Kluyveromyces lactis: one gene and its partner. Each later gene encodes a partner of the first gene's protein in a complex. Links are inferred from orthologs where the notes say so. Each region holds a gene or a part of one and is shown on either strand. Other genes may lie near its edges. The genes, in order: RRN9 and RRN10.

Region 1 (11,225 bases):
CGAAAAACCCCCATTTCAAGCGATTAACAGGTGCTAGTATCTACAAATATAAACTACTATAAAGTATCTTACCCAGGCTTATCAATAATGGCCCTTTACTTGCCATTCCTTCCCATTTTGAGTTCTCGTTTTCTCTGTCTTCACTTTTCGATCTTAATAAAATGATTTCAAAAGGAAATTTCAACTCAATTCCTTGTTAACTGACAACTTAAAGATACAGAAAAGCCAATGTTTGGTTGTAAACTTCAGGTTGTACCTTTGAAGACCGATCACTTTCTAAGTACTTAGTACCTTTCCCCCCTGTTTTGGCTGCTAGATATTAGCGAGAGTTTTTCAGTGTTAAAAATGTCACAGATTAGCGTTCATGTCAAGTCTGGACAGAACAATTGGACGGTTGAAATCGAAAGTGCTGCTACAATTCGTGCATTTAAGGAGACTATCAGTGGTGTAAGTGGTGTTCCTGCCGATAACCAGCGTTTGATTTATTCCGGGAAGATTTTGAAAGATACAGAGACCGTTGAATCTTACAAAATCCAGGATGGCCATTCTGTGCATATGGTGAAGTCTGGTGGTGCATCCGCTGCGACAACCGGCAGTACAACAACTGGCAGTGCAGCATCACCAGCTGCAACTAACTCAGCAGCTCCTTCCAACATTTCTGCTGGTCAGACTGGTGGATTTAACCCATTGGCTGATTTGACTGGTGCCCGTTATGCAGGTCTCGCCAATTTGCCCTCAGCTGATATGTTTGGTCCAGACGGTGGCCTGAACAGCAGTAACGGCGCCAATCCCGAATCCATGCTACAAATGTTAGAGAACCCCATCTTCCAATCTCAAATGAATGAAATGTTGAGTAATCCACAAATGGTCGACTTCTTGATCCAACAGAACCCCCAATTACAGGCTTTGGGTCCGAGAGCAAGAGATATGTTACAGAGCCCCTTCTTTAGACAAATGATGACAGACCCTCAGATGATTAGACAGTCAATGCAAATGGCCAACTCGATGGGTATGTCTCCAGATGGTGCCGCTTCTGCATTTCCTGCGCCAGGTAGTGCTAGTGGGGCTGGTGGGGCTAATGAAACTAGTACAAATGATGCCGATAGTGCAGCAACAGGTGCTGCAGCATCTTCAACAGGCCAAGCTAACCCATTTGCAGGTTTATTCGGTGCGACTCCAGGAAATGCCGCAGCAGCTAATCCCTTCGCTGGATTATTCCCAGGTGGTCAACAACCTCAGTTCAACCAAGAGCTTTTAGCTAGTATGTTCGGTGGGAACTCCAACGCCACCGGTGCTGCTCCAGCTGTAGATAACAGACCACCGGAAGAACGTTACGAGTCTCAACTCAGACAACTAAACGATATGGGATTCTTTGATTTCGATAGAAATGTTGCTGCTCTAAGACGTGCCGGAGGATCTGTCCAGGGTGCTCTTGACGCATTGTTGAACGGCGACGTGTAATGGTTTCCTTTGTATCCACTCCCCTCTAGGCCTTTGCTCCTGATGTGACCCATATCGCTTCGTATGCAATTGTATATCTATCATCATCTCAGTTATGTACTATTTGTATATTTAAAGCCTTCGGCATCACCATTTAGTGATAATCCTTTTCAACCGTGAGATTCTGCCTTGCATTGACTCATCAGGGATCTCGATCAGAGTATCATAGAGTAAGTCGAGAATAGTATCCTGATCATAATGTGAACTCCATTTAGGATGTCCGTTGAAATCGGAATTACACAGCACTTGCTTCACATCAACTGTTAAGTACGATCCAACACATTGTAAGATCCCAAAATCTGTTTCAGATTGACCATCAACGGGAGCGTATCCTCTAAGTAGCACATACAAAAGAGCAATATCCGAACTTTGTAAAGATTGATATCCAAACCATCCACAAAGCAGTTTGATCTTCTCTGGGAGCGGAAACCCCAGCTGCCATGACTTAAATCTATCAGATAACCCAGAATACCGCGCCCATTGGATCTTAATCCTCTCAATCTCATAAATGACACTGCTCTTATTCACATAGTATACAATGTCCAACGGAACACTGCTAGTATGCCAAAAACAAACGGATTTGTGCATTGTTAACAAATGTGATGCATACTGCTGGTTGAACTCCGAATCGCAAAGGTCTAATGACAATGTTTCTTTGCAACTATCACACTTCAGTGTTACAACAGACCCATCACAAAACTCAATGCGAAGCCCGTGAGCCAAGATAGTGATGGGATTCACATATTGCGAGTCCCAAAATATCGCCTCTGTCTTAGTCGTCTGTACCATTCGTTCTAACGCCCTATGAAACTCATCTCTATTGAAAACGTCTATGCCTTTATAAGATTCACCCAAAGTATCAAGAACCCGCTCATAAGGAGCCACAGAAAATTTGGCACTATCTAATCGTACGGTTCTAGTTTTGTACCGGTATTTGTTGACCCGTGAAGATGCTCTTGACATCTTCTCAATCCATCGTGTCATGTACTTATCGACTTTTATTCGATCTTCACCGTCCAAATACCGACTTAATTGGTCTACTCTTTCTTTCAATTTGGTATCCATGATACACAGTATTATTCCAGCACCGATTATCCAAGACTTCTTTCCAGTTTTACAGAGAGCAAGCTTTTTATCCTGTATGTTCCCTCCAGTGCACCAGTCTAATTCAATTTAGAAACCCGCGATTATCAAATTGATTTTGCCTTATCAGGATCAGATGAAGAAGTTGGAAAACAGGATAAACTGGGATATAACATTAGCCACAGGCCCGATATCGAACCAATAGCCGTAGCATAACATAAAGCAGGTTGACCACACCTACGATTAGTTCAAGATCAAACATTGGGCGCTTGTGGAATGGTTTACGGTAATTATTCTGTAGCATCAGCGCACCCGTACACCGCATATCAAACTGCTTTCGGTCATCGAAATTTCATCAACTTTTCAACTAAAATTTCGGCAGGTCTTCAACAGGATCAGGAAGATACATGTGAACCCGAGCTATCAGAGCATCGCAGTGACGTTCGGTGGGTGTAAATACAGGATTCTGTTTGCAGAAAGCGTTTAATATCCCTTTTCTCGCATTAATTTTGCTGATTTTCTATCTAATAGAAGGACCAATCCTCTCTTTCTCTTTTAAAGCAGTACCACTAGGTTATTGTTGAGAAATCCCTGGTATAAACGACCCCTGCGAGGCATTACCGTATTACTATATCCGCCATTAATCACCTGTTCAAAGATGCCAACAGCATTGGAAGATTATCAAAAGAACTTTTTAGAACTGGCCATTGAGTCAAAAGCTTTAAGATTCGGTGAATTTACTTTGAAATCCGGTAGAGTATCACCATACTTCTTCAATTTAGGACTCTTCAACACCGGTAAGTTGCTTTCAAACTTAGCCACTGCTTATGCAATTGCCATTATCCAATCTGAATTGAAGTTCGATGTCATCTTCGGTCCCGCTTACAAAGGTATTCCATTAGCATCGATCGTTTGTGTGAAGTTAGCTGAAATCGGTGGTTCGAAATTCCAAGATGTGAAGTATGCCTTCAACAGAAAGGAAGCCAAGGACCATGGTGAAGGTGGTAATATCGTTGGTGCTGCACTAAAGGACCAAAAAATCTTGATCATCGACGATGTCATGACTGCAGGAACTGCAATCAACGAAGCGTTTGAGATCATTGCCAAGGAAGAAGGCAAAGTTGTTGGATCCATTATCGCATTAGACAGACAAGAGGTGGTTAACACCGAAGACACCGAAGTTCTAAGTGCTACTCAATCTGTTTCTAAGAGATATGACATCCCAGTTTTAAGTATTGTCAACCTGTCAAACATTATCAGCTACTTGGATGGCAGAATCTCTGTGGAAGAAAGGGAAAAGATGGAACAATACCGTCAAACTTATGGTGCATCTGCATAATATCACCCTCGAATCTATCTTAACATATATAATTATACATATTTAAAACAGACACTGGGAAACGCCGCTTCTTGTTTAGATATTTGGTGATAAAAATGACAGAAGTATTCCATTAACGTCTTACTACACGGAACTTGTTCTTTGGCATCTTCATTTGTTTCTCTGGTGCAGATACCTGCTGCGCGGGAGGCGGAGGTGGAGGAGCATCATATAGCGATTTTGTCATTGGATGCTGTGTCAAGTATGGACTATGCAATGGCACGATGTCATTCATTGCTGTTCCCTTCAATAAAGGAATCTTCTTCGGTTCTACGTTATCAAAATCTGGTCCATATGGAAGCTGTTTTACACTCTCAAGTGTTGTAGGATGGCTCTTCAAGTACTCTCCAATACGCTTCATCAATACTCGCTTGTTATCGATTCCACTCACAAATGGTTTTCCATTTTCCTTGATCAACACACGTACTCTTCCCGGATTACCAAAATCTTGTGGATGTGTCTTTGATCCTTCGAATATTGATGGAATTCCAAGCGATCTGGCAGCATCTGCTATCGTCTTGGCCAATGGGTTCTCCACACAAAGATCTTTTGGAGCACGTCTCCCTTGGGCATGCGTCCTTCTAGTGTCGAAATAACATGGATACAACATCTGGAATTCTTTGATCTCATCCAGCTCTTCTTTAGTCAAAGAATGACTCTTTTCCACTTGACCGGTGGTGCTATTAACAAAATTGAACCCACTACCGCTGCCTGCATTACCAGAAATTGCAGCAGAATATGCTTCTTCTTCTTGATCTTGCGATCTAACCACAGTGGGTACGATCTTTGGTGCCACTGGTGTCTTCATCGTGGAGTCCAATTCTGCGAGATCCATCTCTAAATTATCGATATCATCGATATCATCGATCTCTTCAATCACAGGCATTGTGTGTAAATATCCCTAACAAATACTGTAGCCTTAACTATTGCTTGGTTGATGCTGCTTTGTTTCCAACTCTTTGAAGTGGTCGTTCTTATCCACTGTTTAAAGCTCATCAAAAATTTTCAATTGAATTTAAAGGTTTAGTAGGGATAGAGAACTAAAGAGGATCAACTAACATGAATCCAAACAGCTACTAATGATTGAGTTCATAGCAATTGTAGCCGCTGGACTTCAAGTGGGTAGCTAACATTGTACCGGTCCCTTTTTATTCGGTTTTGTTTCGGTAAAATGGACTCACAACTGGCCCGTGATGCCATAGATCTGTTAGCAACGCTAGATCAAGAACAAAGGAATGATCTTTCAGTACATTTATACTCTGCGCATCTATTGAAACACTTATTGTATAGAGCGAATAAGGATGAGAAGAACATATTACGTACCGAGACGTTTGTGAAGACCGTCTTGAAAGAAGATTGGACCGCGTGGCCGAGCAGAAATTCAATAATCGACCCCAATACATCCGATATATATGAAGATCAAGCAGGGTGTCTCGCCTCTGAAAATATAGGCGGTATTCATAGGAAAGGGGTACAACCGGGTCAATTGGACCAGTCATCGTTGAACCATGCGACAGAGATGTTATATGGAGAACTCAATGCGTTCTGGCAGCAGAAACTCAAAGAGAGTTCGGTAATGGGCCAACAAACTGAAAATAAGACCGCCGATGAGGGTCAGATTGAGGATCCAAATACAATTGTCGATGAAAATGACAGTGAGATACTTGGCGTAAATGATACGGCGCTGGACGTCAACGAAATGGATTTACCAGATGATATATTTCAAAACCTACTGTTCAAGGTGGATAGGTTTATTGGATCTTTGCATTTGGATGCAGCTGAGACCAACACTGTCACGTTATCGACAATTCCTAGTGAGCCTGAGATCAAATTAAAGAGTACCACCATAGGCAATACTGAAGCAGTGACGACCAGAAGTAAAGAAAAGTACGATTACAAGGACATAATTGTGCACGGCTGTGAGACTGGGGAAGATATGTCTCGACAATATTTGCGGGCCATTGATTTATTTCAAGATCTGCCGAAGACTATGGACAAATCGCAGTTTGTACTCCCGGATGCATACTTGGACAGGTTCTCTCAGGTGAACCTGGGCAACTCGGACTCGGAACAATCAGATGATGATCCACAAGATCATACAAAGCTCGAAGAGAACATTAAGAAGAAAGAAAACAGTGGTAAGAAAGACGTGAAATCGTTCGTTGATATGAAACGAATTATCAAGGATCGTAATAATGATCCTGTAGTGAGAAGAGAGACAAGGCTCCTACTTAGGAAGGATGAGTTTGCGAGGGACAAGAAAATGTTCTTCACGGTCTTGAATCACCAAAACTCGAGTGAGCAATCCAACAAACCTCGAAGAAGAATCAAGAAGAGAGATAAGAACAACAATAAAAATATAGTTTCACTAAATATTGACTCGGATTATGGACCTGGAGACTTGGATTGAATTCGTTTAATCTCATCAAACATGACATCCATAATCTCGAGCATCAAACTAACATTTAAATACTCGTTCTGTAGCATTGAATGTAATCTATATCCTGCATTGCTCGCATACATTGTGCCGACCACTTTCCCGCAAGTCTCTACCATAAACCTTTCAAGCATCGCCTGCGATTCTGTACTGGTTCGGATAATTTCACCTTCGGTCCTGGCTGATGGCTGTGGAATGCTGCTGCTCTTGAAGAATATATCATCTACCCAAAGTATGGAATTAAGTTTAGAGATAAGGAGTGTTACTTTCTCTGGTGATCTGATTCGTTGTATAACATCTTTGATATATTTCTCAATAGTGCTACCCAATAATCTTTGTAATACAACTATGATAGCCCTTCCTCTTAGCCAACCGGTATTGGACTGGTTTAGAGCAAAAAAAGAAATGAACAACTCACATATGGGTTTCACTAAGGTTCCTGTATTGTTGCTACCATTTGCTCCCGAATGGAAATTTCTCTCGTCCTCAAAGAAATCTAATTCATCTGAGAAACTTTTGGGATCATCAAATCTCCCTGCTGATACATTTGTAACTTCTCCAACGGTGTTGTCCGTCTTTAAAAGAACCATTGATCTTCTCTTATCCTCAACATCTTCTTCCAAATTCTCTTTAACCTTAAAAGTGTTGGAAACATCCGTCAAATATTTTCTAAAGTATTCATCTTGACAAACCTCACGTATTTTTAACAATTCCTGCATGTAGTATTCGAGTCTTTTTCTTCTTTCTTCATACAATAATGTTTTCGATACATGATACTTTAATGACATTTTTACTCTCTCCGGGAAGCCATTAGAATTTTGCAAATAGCTTACCACCCCCGGATACTTCTTCTTCAAGTAGGAGTTCAACCTGTAGAATTCGCTGAATCTTCGAGGTATATCCCACGTAACTAACTGGTTGTTGAAGATATGCTGTACATTTATCAAATAGTAAACAGTTTCTTTACCATCTTCAAGAGACACATCAGTCAAATAAGATTTAATACAAAGTTTTGCCCTGCCATATAAAATATTAGCGTTCTCATGAACCATATGCTGTTGTTTAAGCAATTCTTTGTATTCCAGTTCTCTTCTAAGTGTTCTTTCCGATTTCTTCAACAATATCAGTCTCGTTTGATTATTAGTTAGCTCCGCCTTCAATATCAAATGATGTAGAAGCTCCAGCTGCTTTTTAAGTGTATCAATTGATAAAACCAAATTACCTATTTCCTCCTTCAAATTTAAAGAATTCAAGATAGACGTATCATTATAACTGCCATTTTCCTGCTTGCTTGATCCGTTCAAGCTTTCTAGACTACTGTTTGCAATCGAATAAGGGTAAAACGATACCGAGTTCAATTCAGAGGTTTCTTCGTCCTCTTGTACGGAGGTATCTCCAAATAGTTCATCATCGAACAAAGATTTCTCTCGCGCACCGAAAATATTAGAGTACGATTTCTTAGGAGTTTTCAAACTTGAAATAGCATCGGTGGTGCTCACATCGTTATTGTTTAAAATGTCATCTAACGCTTTGCCTAAATTACCATGTGTGATTACCCTCACGGTGTCCGTTGGAAAATCATTGTTCAAAGTATTTGACGCTTGAGTGGCTATATTATGAGCCTTTATAAAATCGCTATCAGCCAACATCTGATAAAAATTATCAGAGTCTTTGAATATAGGGTACCATTTTTCGGCTAATATTTTAAGAGCCGATTTCTGTAACAACAACATGCATCTACGAGCCTCTACTGATTTGTCAAACTGTGACTCTGTTACGGAAGGAGTATCATCCCTTTCCTTCAAAAAATCAATAATCGTTTTGACGCTATTAGAATCCAATTCCTCAATGTGTGCTCGAGAAATAGGAGAGCTGAAAAATTGTTGCTCAAGTTCTCTTAAATGTTTATTGCCATTTTTGGAAGTATCAATTTGTATCTCATCATTAGATATATCTTCTAACGGATTCCGTTTCCTTTCGATAAAGGACCACAGCTGTAAAGCAATTATTCCTGATTGATCTGTTTGTGGTTCAAGGAATGCCGAAAAGAACTTCAAAGAGGAAACATTCGTAAGCACATCTTGAACAGTGACCGTTTCCACAAACTTCTCAAAGGATTGTAATTGCTGCTCTAGATTATCGTGTGCCTGGTTACTCTGTGGGTCATTTGGGCTTAGATATGCAAGCTTGCTGTATATTAGATTCAATGCCAATTCAATCCTCTTATTAAACAAAGCGTGCTTTTTTTGAAAAGACTTTGAGGATACTTCTCCTTCATTCGGTACGCATCGTATTTGTAGTGCATCAATCCATAACTTAACCTTGAGGATATTTAATTGGCTGACTTCCGTGAGACAACTCAACTGCTTTAAGAAACATTCGTAATCATCATCTGTTCCATGAACATTCGTTACATCAATAGTACCACTTTTCGCAAGACTTTCATTATCCAGACAATTTTCATCATCAGCTTCAATCGTTTTAGATAGTACAGCTCGGAGCTCGGTGACTTGGGACCTTTCCTTTAAGACTTGAGAACAAATATCGATCAATTTAGTGTTCCAGAAATCTGGAGTCGCAATCCTTGAAACGAGTGGCTGAAGAACCGAACACGCCACAACTTCTCTTAGAATTGTCCTGACAAAAGGTGATTCTAACTCCTTGGGATCAACAAGAATCGATAGCAACTCTTTAGCTCTTTTCCGGGAATAATTTTGTACATCCTCAGAAAGACTTTCCTGACTCAAAGTGAGAGATAGATCCTTATGGATACGGTACTGCTTATTGAATTCCACTGCTACAGCTAAATCCACATTTTGTTCAGGTTTGTCTATAGCAACGCTACTTGTGATGCTCTCTTGAGATATATAGAAGGTAGTGTAATGTTTCGTCAATAAAGGTAGTATTCTTAAAATCATCAACTCACAAAGGTCAACATCTGAGAGAGCAATCGAAAATCGTATTATGGCCTCTTTTAACACCGATTTCACAGTATTGGGAAATTTGTCTGATTCACTGATTGATCCAAACCAGGATAAAATGAAATTGCTGATGATGTTATTGAGTAAGATATCAATTTCTTTTGATAATGCTTCGTTATTGGGGAACAAGGCTTCTTGACCGGCAAAATTATCATCATCTGAAGTTTTGGTAATAGGTTTATCACCTGTGAACCTTAGCGTTGGTTTTGTTGGGAGCACCCGAGGTTGTTCATTTAATGCAAGATATATCCAAATGATTGACAAAAGAGACGCAACCGATAGGACAAACAAACACTCCCCCCACCCCAAGAAGAAGGGAACCACGAACAAAACATGCCACTTGAAACTGGGCATTTAGAAATTCAATATATGGACTGCTGCCAATGGAATGCTGTTAAGCCGCGTCTTGGGCAGTATCTTTTCGACAGTGGAATAATTTAGCTTGTTTACACTATTTGTTGAAAACCTTGAAATGAACTAAATGCGTTTAAATCGTCTATCTAACGAGAATTTTTATATACAACATGTACGTACAATGGAGGGATGATGCTGCAAGAAGAAAATAAAGAGAACATCAATGTGAACTTTTACGCTTGTGTGTACCCTTCTTATCCTTCTTATCCTTCTTGTCTTTCCTATGCTTATCCTTCTTGTCTTTCTTATGCTTACTCTTTGGCTTGTCAACCTTATGCGACTTCTTCTTCTTCTTCTTCTTCTTCTCGTCTTTGCTCTTTTTATCTTTCTTCGATGTCACTTCAGAAACAGCCAGTTTAACTATAGTAGATCCATTGTTGGACGGCAGATCTGTTTTAATGGTACCTTTCAACACTTCACCTCTAACAAATGATCGATAAAGTGGTGAATCGCTCTTTGATATGGAAGAAGCGACGACTTCGTTTTGTTTGAACGAGATCCCATCGGACCCGCTTTTGATGTCCAAGTTTCGAAGTTGTCCGTCGAACAAACGTTCCCACCAGGCTTCACTGTCATCATGTCCTGGTGCACATCCAAGCCCTTTCTTATCTTTCTTGTGTTTCACAAGAATCGGTTTTTTCAGTCCTCCGTTCCGTAAGGCCTCACCTTCTTGCCAGCCATACGATTTAAGGTACCCTTTACTGTCCATGGGTAATATATGGTGGAACTGAGGTATAATTATCGGGGATTCACAATGGTAGATCAGCAAACAGATCGGTAATCTTACCAATGTCAATGTCACTTTAATTGCTGTATATCATCTTCTCATCTCATCTCATCGCGAGTTGAAGAATTTCTTTTCAAAGAGAAACATTTCGATTGTGGTCACGTGAACACAGTCTTCATCATTACCCGGAGCAATAGCATCACGTGCCACGGTTTTTCTTCTTTTCCTGTGTCATTTAAGGTTGTCACCACACTGCCAAGACTTACTCTATGGAGGATCTAAAATTACTTAACACATGGGGCTACACCGTGGCTGGCTCCATGAGTTGAGGCCATGAAACGTGTACGTTTCATGCTCCGCCTGAGACAAAACCACAAAACCCCAAGAAACCTCTAATTAATTGGTATTCAAAACACACAACTCCACAGATAGACACGGCGTGTGTGTATTCTGAGTGGGCTTTAAACTCTAAACTCTAAACTCTAAACCATGTACATCAAGATCTCCGGCACGTGACCTGTGTTTAAATAATCACTCAACGAGCATATGGCACCTTGAGTGATTATAAATCCCCAATTTTAGCAAACAGGGCTGGCTGGATCGATGCCCGGTCCGAACAAAAACGTGTAGAAAACCGTTTTAAATCAGTAAACAACGAGAACGGGCGAAGACTTGCTAAAAATACACTGACAAACGTGCGTATGT
Region 2 (10,137 bases), on another chromosome or scaffold:
CCAAAAGATCTTTACAATAAGACAACCATTGGGTGTTATTGGTATTCTAACTCCGTGGAATTTCCCTAGCGCAATGATTGCTAGAAAGTTAGCACCAGTCATTGCTACTGGTAATACATGTGTCATCAAACCTGCTCATGAAACTCCGTTGAGTGCATTGGCGTTAGGGGTGATCGCAGAGAAAGCCGGTCTTCCTGCAGGTGTATGCAATATCTTACCAACTAATCACACAAGTGAAATAGGTGAATACGTTTGCGAACATGAATTGGTCAAGAAGATCACTTTCACTGGCTCAACTAAAATCGGTCAATTGTTAATGGGACAATCAAGCAAGGGAAAGAATATCAAGAAATTCTCTATGGAATTGGGGGGTAATGCACCATATATCGTCTTCAAGGACGCTGACTTAGACCGTGCCTTAGATGGAATAATCGGATGTAAATTCAGACAATCCGGACAAACTTGTATCTGTGCAAACAGAATCTTTGTGCATGAAGATCTTTACGATGAATTCAGTAAGAGGTTGGTTGATAAGATCGACAAAACCTTTAAATTAGGCGATGGGTTCCAAGACGGTGTCACTCACGGTCCATTGATCCATGACAAATCCATTGACAAAGTCGCATCTTTAGTTCAGGATGCAAAAACGAAGGGAGCAGACGTCTTGATAGGTGGCTCAAGAGCTAGTTCTTTAGGTCCATTATTCTACCAACCAACAGTACTTGGTAATGTAACCGAGTCCATGGATATATTTTATGAAGAAATCTTTGGACCTGTTGCTCCATTAATTAAGTTTAAGGATGTGGATGAAGTCATCAAACGTGCTAATGACACGGATGTCGGTTTAGCAGGCTACTTCTACAGTCAAAATATTAGCACCATTTTTGATGCCGCAGAGAAACTAAATGTTGGTATGGTTGGTGTCAACACTGGAGAAATCAGTGAACCTGCAGTACCTTTCGGTGGTGTTAAGAATTCAGGTTTAGGTAAAGAAGGTTCTAAGTATGGTATCGATGATTACACTGAATTGAAGGCCATCATTGTGGCACCATAGACAATTCACTTTGAAAAACTCTTATATCTACTAAAATGAAGTCTATTCGGATATGCAAGTTATCTCATATGTTATATAAAACTAACACCTTTTTGAATACATACATGTGTAAATGAAAAGTTTAGAGTAGAAGCTCGAGATATCCCTCTTATTGACAATAAATTCTTCTAAATGTAGCAATGTATATAACATATCCACATTTAAAGTTTATGATGATTAAATGTCGTAACAAGAGTTCATTTTTTCTGAGTATCAAAAAACTGCTTGATATCAGATTCACTAACGACCTTATCGTTTTCCGCAAATGGTCGTAGGAAATCTGTTAGTTTTGATTTTATTTGCTGGAAAGCGACTAGACTGGCTAGAGTTTGCTGATGAGACAAGTTTTGAGCTAGGGCCGTTTCTCCCATTTCTACAAGAGATCCTTGCTCTTGTTCCTCCGGGGGTTCATAAACTTTCTCTTCACAAGTGAGGAATGGTGCTGTGTGCATGAAAAAGCTTTTCAAGGAGTCACCTTCTGGAAGTGAATCCCTTAATCGTTTAAATTCTTCCCTATATCCTTCTTTCAAGAATAATGAATATGAACCCGAAGAGTTTTCCATTTCTTCTAGCCCTCTTTTCTTGGTACTTTCCAATGTCATTCCCTCGGAGTTCTGATCCGATACCAGATCTCTCCTGTACACTTTATGTGCTATGATTTTATCACACGCTTCGTGTGATAAAAGCTTTTCAAATATCGAGCTGTACTTGTCAATACAAACCCATGAGATAAATCCTTCGAAACTTGACAGTTCAGGGAATCCTGGTAGCTTTCTGTCTTCTGTAACCGGGTCTGGGTTTTCTTCTATCCCTAGAATGCAGTGATCATGAAACCAGTCCTCATTGCACTCCAAGCCAAGGACGCATTGTAACATCGTTGTCGTTGTATTCGGGTCATACTCTCTATGGCAAGAGCAAAATAACCCTTTGAAATTCTGGCCATACCTGTTACTCATGTCTGGTATATCTGGTGTAGTATTCTTTCTTATATTACAAGGTGTGAACTTCTCACCGTGTTCAAACTGCCTTTCTGTACCGCAATCGCAACTGAAATTCCTCTTATCGAAAAGTTCCACCAAGTCACAGGTACTGTGACACTGAATAGAGCATGAATAGCACACTCCTATACTGTTGCAAGTACGACATGCGAATATTGGCTGTCGAATTGGGCCCATGGAATAAGTGCAATGGCTTGGATCATATGGCATCAGTTTATTTGCTTCATCTTCCAGTTCCTCCTGTCGCTTCACATATTCTTTAACGCTAATCTCGCTCATTCCCTAACACCAACAAGACTATCTTTAAGTGCCAGAACTCACCTTGTAGTAAGAAATGCGTGAATGAAGGTACCCTTTTTGCCTTTAACTTGACGTGTTCCTTATGTTTAAATTTGGGGATATTTCATTGATAGTAAGAGATTTTCCATGTCGATGAATCAATATTCCGTATGATTTTACGTCAATATCGACACATTTGGACGGTTACCGGATGGAAATCGATCTAATATGGGGCACAAAATGCATCACATCATTCCAGAGCTTCAACATCCATACTTTACCTGCAATTGTGTTGCTTCATCGTGTGATTGGAGCTATAAGTACGGTTTTTAAGCGTATGATCCCATGTGATTATCACGTGATCCACGCATCATAATAAAGAAATTATACTAATCAAATGTAGATTGCAAAGCTAAAAGAGGTGAGAACTACCGATTGGTGTTATTGGAATATTGCCATTGCTGTATTATTAGCCCCAACGCTCTACAATGGTCAGATCGTTGCAAAACACCATTTTAGGAAATGTTATTGTTTCAATTAAAGATCATTTTCGTACATTCAACTGAAGAAAAAAGCCGGAAAAAACGTTAAGATCTTAAGATAGCTTTAGATCCCAATGGTCTGAAACAAAGTGTAACAAGTAGGTCATCGAAGCATCAGGAAGACAATTGTGTGATCGGATTTGGTAGTGCGATAATTGAAGATTATTAATTGCTGTTTTTGAAAGTGTTTCAAGATGTCTGATAATGATGAAATAAATAACGGAAGGAGGAGAAGAAGAAGAGCTGATGATGATGAGGATGAGGATGATTCTTTGTCTACACAACCCCGTGAAGGTGGCGCTAACATCCCTAGTTCTCCACAGTTTGAAGACCCGCTTGGATCTCCAGATGAGATAGATTTTGAGAATCCAGATAACGATGGAGATGAAGCTGTCAATGTTCAAGAGGATCTTGAAGATGTGGAAGAAAGAATGAATGAAGTCGATTTGATGGGTGATGATATGTACCGTGATTACGCTTCAAACACAGAACATGATACGTATGAAAGAAGAGGAGTCGACGACCAGGAGCAGCAAGAGTTGTCGCTCGCTGAGCGTAGAAGAATCGATGCACAATTGAACGAGAGAGATCGTTTGGTGCATAGGAACACAGCATACCTTGATGATGATGATGGCGAAGGAGCTGGTGCGCATAATTTGGATGCTATGGGTCTTCCAGTACAGAGGAGACGTAGAAGACGTCAATACGAAGAAGCAGATGATGATTTGTTATCAGATATGGATATAGATCCGTTGGCAGATGAGCTCTCGTTGGAATCTTTGGCAGATGTGAAGGCATCAAGTTATTCTGAATGGATCACTCAACCGAATGTATCACGTACTATTGCCAGAGAGTTGAAATCGTTTTTGCTTGAATATACTGATGAGTCAGGTAAATCCGTTTACGGTGCTCGTATCAGAACTCTCGGTGAAATGAACTCTGAATCCTTGGAAGTTAATTATAGACATTTGGTAGAATCCAAGGCCATTCTAGCCCTATTTTTAGCCAAATCTCCCGAAGAAATGTTGAAAATATTTGATACAGTGGCTATGGAAGCTACACAACTACACTATCCCGATTATACTCGTATTCACTCGGAAATTCACGTAAGAATCTCGGATTTCCCTAGTATATTGAACTTACGTGCTTTACGTGAAACTCATTTGAATTCTTTAGTTAGAGTTAGTGGTGTCGTGACAAGAAGAACTGGTGTCTTCCCACAACTTAAATACGTTAAATTCAACTGTTTGAAATGTGGTGCCACACTTGGGCCTTACTATCAGGATTCAAATGAAGAAATTAAAATCTCGTTCTGCACAAATTGTAGATCTAAGGGTCCCTTCAGAATTAATATGGAAAAAACTCTGTACCGTAATTACCAAAGAATCACCATCCAAGAATCACCAGGGTCTGTTCCAGCCGGTAGATTACCACGTCACAGAGAAGTCATTTTGTTGTGGGACTTGGTTGATATCGCAAAACCTGGTGAAGAAGTCGAAGTGACAGGAATCTATAAGAACACATATGACGGTAATTTGAATGCAAAGAACGGGTTCCCCGTTTTCGCAACAGTACTGGAAGCCAATTCAGTGAAGAGAAGAGAAGGCGGATTGCATGATGGTGATGAACACGAAGGGCTGGATGCCTTCAGTTGGACAGAAGACGAAGAGCGTGAATTCAGAAAGATGTCTCGTGACAGAGGAATCATCGATAAAATCATTTCATCAATGGCTCCATCTATTTATGGGCACAGGGATATCAAGACAGCAATTGCATGTTCTTTATTCGGAGGTGTTCCTAAAAACATTAACGGTAAGCATTCCATCCGTGGTGACATAAACATTCTACTTCTCGGTGATCCAGGTACTGCCAAGTCCCAAATTTTGAAATACGTGGAAAAAACTGCCAACAGAGCTGTCTTCGCTACAGGTCAAGGTGCTTCTGCAGTCGGTTTGACAGCTTCTGTCAGGAAGGACCAAATAACTAAAGAGTGGACTCTTGAAGGTGGTGCGTTAGTGCTTGCGGATAAGGGTGTTTGTTTGATTGATGAATTCGATAAGATGAACGATCAGGATCGTACTTCTATTCACGAAGCAATGGAACAGCAAAGTATATCCATCTCTAAGGCAGGTATCGTTACCACGTTACAAGCCAGATGCTCTATTTTAGCTGCCGCCAACCCGATCGGTGGTCGTTACAACTCTACTCTTCCGTTATCACAAAATGTCAATTTGACTGAACCAATTTTGTCAAGATTCGATATCCTCTGCGTGGTAAGAGATTTGGTTGATGAAGAAAGTGATAATCGGCTAGCATCTTTCGTCGTTGATTCACATATCAGGTCTCATCCAGACAAGGATCTGGATGATTTTGATGATGGTAACGTTCCAACGGAAAATCCTAATGGGGAGGGTGATGAAGAAACTCCGTTATCTGCCAAACAAAGACGCTTGCAGAACCTTCGTAAAAGAGAAGAAGAAATTTCGCCCATATCTCAGCATATGCTAATGAAGTATATTCATTACGCAAGAACTAAAGTTTACCCTAAGTTACATCAAATGGATATGGACAAAGTGAGTAGGGTTTATGCTGATTTGAGACGAGAGAGTGTCACTACTGGTTCATTCCCGATCACCGTTCGTCATTTGGAATCTATCTTAAGAATTGCTGAAGCCTTCGCGAAAATGAGATTATCAGAATTCGTTTCCTCATGGGATTTAGACAGAGCAATTAAAGTAACAGTGGACAGTTTTGTGGGTGCACAAAAGATTAGTGTACGTCGCCAACTACAAAGATCTTTCGCTGTTTATACTATGGGAACAATGTGAAATCAAGATTCAACATTTCCAACGGAAGAAAACAATTCTATAAGCTCAGAACAACAATATACCGTTCCCATTTTTTCCATTATAGATGCAGTACTACATCGCTTATATTAGCATAATATACAAATTTGTAACTAATAGACTTAAATAATGATTACTTCAACCTTCAAAGGAATACCGCTTTTATAATTTCATGTAGAAGTCTATAACTGATAATGTGGAGTGAAGAAACTTATTCAGCCGTGGATGTTTCAGTGACAGTTACAGCAGGTACTTCTTCTTTCTCAGAAGTCTCTTCCTTCGAAGAGTTAGCTGATGCGTCAGCTGCTTCTTGGGCCTTCTTGGCCATATGATCAGCCTTTGGATTTTGTTTGCTGGTTGTTTCGATGCCGAAAATTCTGTACAACAATTCGTGAACATCTTCTTTACAAACCATCAAGTTGATACATTTTGATCCGTTCCAAACTGGTAAAAACAAATCTTCCTTGGATGGATCATTTCTATCGACTTTAATGAAAGTGCATCCTGCACTCAGTTTTTGAGTCTTGGAAATGAATTCTGGATCGACGTTGTCCGCTGTTAAGTCTTCGTATCTTGGGAAAGCTTCAGTTAACAACTTCTTTAGAATTTCCATGTTACCTGGGACGATTCTGGCAGAGTTCATATGTTGTTTCATGATTGGTAAGGATTCGGATTGAATTCTCCAAGCACAATCAATGTCTGACCTTTGGGAAACAAACAGTTTTACACCGGAGTAAACAATCTTTAGTCTATCTTCATTGTTTACAATCAATTGTTTCAATGGAGTAGCGACGTGGTAGATAGTTCTAGTTGGTTCACCAGTAGCGTTACGAACCAAACAAGTGGACTTATCAAATTTGTCATCAATACCGTAGAACTCCCAACATTTGGCTAATGCTGGATGGTTTGGATCCACGAACACAAATGGTTCTTCATTGGCATCACGAGGTAGTTTTTCCTTCTTTTGAATGTGAGAGGCAGTAGAGGATGTATCGATTTTAGCCTTTTTTAGTTCAGGTTCTTGGGCTTGTTCTTCTACAGCAGCAGCAGTTTCAGAAGCTGGTACCGGAGTTTCAGCAGTTGATGTATCGATCTTCTCGAAAACGGTGATAAAGAACCCACCTGTATTCTGTTGATGTTGGTACACTCTCATACAGTTTTCCAAATGGAATTTTTCAACCTCTTCTGCAGTTGGTGGGAACCATGAATCCAAACAGTTTTCATGTCCTTTTTCTCTAACTTGGAATTGTTTGTCGTATACCTTCCATTCAGTGATACCCTTAGATCTGACTAAACCTGGCAATTGATCATCACAGTTGACCAATCTTACCTTATCACCCCACCTTCTCAAAGCGGCAGCAATAACTGCTTCGTTTTCAATTGGATTCAAAGAACAAGTGGAGTATACAAGTTTACCACCTTCTTTCAACAAATTTAGACCTCTTTCCAAGATATTCAATTGCACAATGTGTAAACCTAGACCAGATCCAGTGTTCCAATCCTTCCAAACGTTGACGTTCTTTCTCATAGTACCGTCACCAGAACATGGAACGTCACATAAAACTCTGTCGAATTTCAAGAACTGAGGACCTTTAGAACCTTCGGTGGAATCCACTTTGATACGTGGGAAGAATTGAGCATCATGGTTAACGACCATCAAGTTAGCAGAATTCAAACGTTTCAATTGGTGCACCAACATATGAGATCTCTTATAGTCTGCATCGTTAGCTATGACAAACCCAGAAGGTTCATCAGATTCGGCATGTAAAGCTTCAATCAACTGTGCAGTCTTAGAACCAGGGGCAGCACACATATCCAAAACATAATGGTGAGGCTTAACATCCAACACAATAGGTGGAATCATGGAGACAGCTTCTTGTCTGGAAATGTTACCAACAGCGTTTTCAACAACAAGGAATCTTTGCATACGAGCAAACTGTTCATTTTTTCTGATAACACTCTTAGAAACATCTAATTGCCAGCCAAGATGTTCCGGGTACCATGGCAAAGCCATTGGTGGCTTAACCACTTCATTTTCCCAAGTAACGTTGGTCAAATTGGGTAGATGGTGTTCTTGGAACAGTTGTAGTACTTCTTTAGAATGTTTACGAGAACCAGTGATTCTAAAAGTTAAAGGTAATTGCGACTGGCAAGTCTTCTTAAACTGGTCCCATTCTTCAACTGGGATTACACCTAAATCCTTGTAGTAAGTTTCCCATTTCTCGTTTTCCTTCACTAATTCAGTCCAATTCTTTTGGTTGTTGGAGTCATCACGAGTACCAAAAGTCTTTTTTGGTCCCTTCTTTTGATTCTTTCTTCTAGCCATTTCTCCTGCTTGTATGTTGCACTAGTTCTGGTAAGAGAGAACCGAATAAACCCAACAGCAAGACACACAAGACCGTATCTGACAGGAAACAATGCTCATCTCATCGCATCATCAACGGATTCTAATTTTCACTTTTTCTTTTCTTCAAAGTCTCGGAAAATTTTCAAGTCACGTGGTATGTAAATAGAGAGACTGGATCAGGTACACAATGGAAGGCATGTAAAACACACACACTAAGTAGTATTACCTCTAAATATCAGCTGGTGAGTATCTGTAATTTATATCCTTGCTAATCTGTTGAGAAACCCCTTCAGACACGGATCCAGTTTCCGGCAGCACTAAGTAATCTTCGATCCATTTCTCCAATAACCAACTAATTGTGATGAGACTGGTCTCATCGAATCGTTTCACTAGATGCGGGTACCTTTGTAAGATGAGTTGTGTCAAAAAGTAATGCACCACTTTCGTATCAATAGTGGGTAATCTCGTTTGTAATTCGTCTCTAGTCAATAATGGGATTGGAACGATATGGTTCAACCTTAAACCAAGGCATTCATCCGGTGAAAGAATTGATCCATTTGGACCTTTGACGAGGTTATGGCTTGCTTCATATACGTTTGCGTTCATTGGAGGTATGCTTTTGGAATGCTAAATGGCTGTGTATAGTATGAACCGGGGAAACAGAAGTTGTTGTAGTTATGTGCAATTCACAATTTTTTAACATAGTGAGATAGTTCAAATTTAAACTAGACAAACAGTGCAGCTTCGCTGGAGTATTTGTTGAATGATGAATCAGTGCACGACGCTAGCCATATAACATACTTCTAAGTACAGCCAAAAAAAATGAAGGACAGTGTATGTCTGCCTCTGAACCCACACGCACTGCTTAACCACGGGACGTGCAATCCACACCACCTCGTCACGGGCAGTGTTCGTTGTGCTGGATGAGACTCCCCTACAACGTTAAACACTAAACTAGCTTCAAGTATTAGTTGAAATGCTAAATCGTTACCAGTTGGGCTTCGAACCGCAGACTTCTCATGCGACCGAGCCACCACAAAGGATAACCCGCAACAATTTTGTAACGGTGGGACACGTCGACCACGTGACAACCGAACCGAGATCCAGCTGTCCAAAGCAGTTACACAAATAAATGAACGCGTAGACCGGGCGGCCAGACACGAAAAGCGGGTAATGGCATATAACCACTACGAGACATTTCACGCCTGTTTGGGATACCATTGTGAAACCTCTTCCATTTGAAAGAGACCCGGTGTGACTGTGCGGTTTCGAACCGGAGCCACATATCCAAGCATCACACTCCTTCGACAGGGTGCTTTCTTAAACATATTTGAGGAAAAAAGAAGATGATAGCAGATTGAGGCGATCACGTGAAGGTTTTTCTTTATTCAATTTCCAGCCCTAGGGATTACTCCTCTAATATGATATACTTATGCGCTAGAGGAAAAACCTGGATATACATATACACATATTTTTACTTTGAATATACACGACGACTATATCTGATATACTTCATGCAGCCATGCCTTTCGTTTTACTTACACATACGAAGTGACTTCGAAAAATCTCTTCAAGTAATAGATCTGGAACAACGAATTCACTACAACGACGAGCAATTGGAACACAGACCACCATTTGACACGGTCATTAGTGGATTCTGCTGTGTTTCTGTGAGTTCTTTCTCTGATAATAATGTAACTTTGTTCGTTCTTCACTTCTTTGACCAGTTTGGACAATTGTCTCACTGAGCCGTCCAAAGATCTGGTGTTTGGATCATCTAAATCGACATAAATAACACCGAAAACATTGAAAGTCACGTCCTTAGTGTCAATGTTCGAGTTTTCATTCAAAAAGCAGTATTGGAACTTGCCGGTGTATGGAGCGTTCACAAACACGTCACCATGTGACACGTCTCTCAAAGTTTTCAAGACCTCGCTTCTTTGAGACCCATATAGAACGAAATCACCAGTCAATTGTTCAGTACCATGAGGGTTTCTATCACCGAATTGGAAAGATACAGATAGCTCGTCAC

What was found.
Region 2: RRN9 (region 1) and RRN10 share a complex: the UniProt entries of both Saccharomyces cerevisiae proteins name them as parts of the UAF (upstream activation factor) complex. The link is inferred for Kluyveromyces lactis from reciprocal best matches to the Saccharomyces cerevisiae genes RRN9 and RRN10.

What each region holds. Positions count from the first base shown.
Region 1 is NC_006040.1:161,283-172,507, forward strand, and holds RRN9 (Rrn9p), read left to right. Parts: upstream 1-5,132; coding exon 5,133-6,371; downstream 6,372-11,225. Other genes in the region: ubiquitin domain-containing protein DSK2, read left to right, coding at 346-1,461; KLLA0_D01881g (uncharacterized protein), read right to left, coding at 1,588-2,565; orotate phosphoribosyltransferase URA5, read left to right, coding at 3,242-3,922; RNA-binding signal recognition particle subunit SEC65, read right to left, coding at 4,035-4,847; MDM1 (Mdm1p), read right to left, coding at 6,347-9,733; TMA23 (Tma23p), read right to left, coding at 9,954-10,502. UniProt on the Saccharomyces cerevisiae protein: Component of the UAF (upstream activation factor) complex which interacts with the upstream element of the RNA polymerase I promoter and forms a stable preinitiation complex.
Region 2 is NC_006042.1:1,161,313-1,171,449, reverse strand, and holds RRN10 (Rrn10p), read right to left. Parts: upstream 8,712-10,137; coding exon 8,334-8,711; downstream 1-8,333. Other genes in the region: KLLA0_F12628g (NAD-dependent succinate-semialdehyde dehydrogenase), read left to right, coding at 1-1,054; KLLA0_F12606g (uncharacterized protein), read right to left, coding at 1,291-2,370; MCM DNA helicase complex subunit MCM2, read left to right, coding at 3,107-5,740; NCL1 (tRNA (cytosine-C5-)-methyltransferase), read right to left, coding at 5,970-8,084; EMP24 (Emp24p), read right to left, coding at 9,644-10,137. UniProt on the Saccharomyces cerevisiae protein: Component of the UAF (upstream activation factor) complex which interacts with the upstream element of the RNA polymerase I promoter and forms a stable preinitiation complex.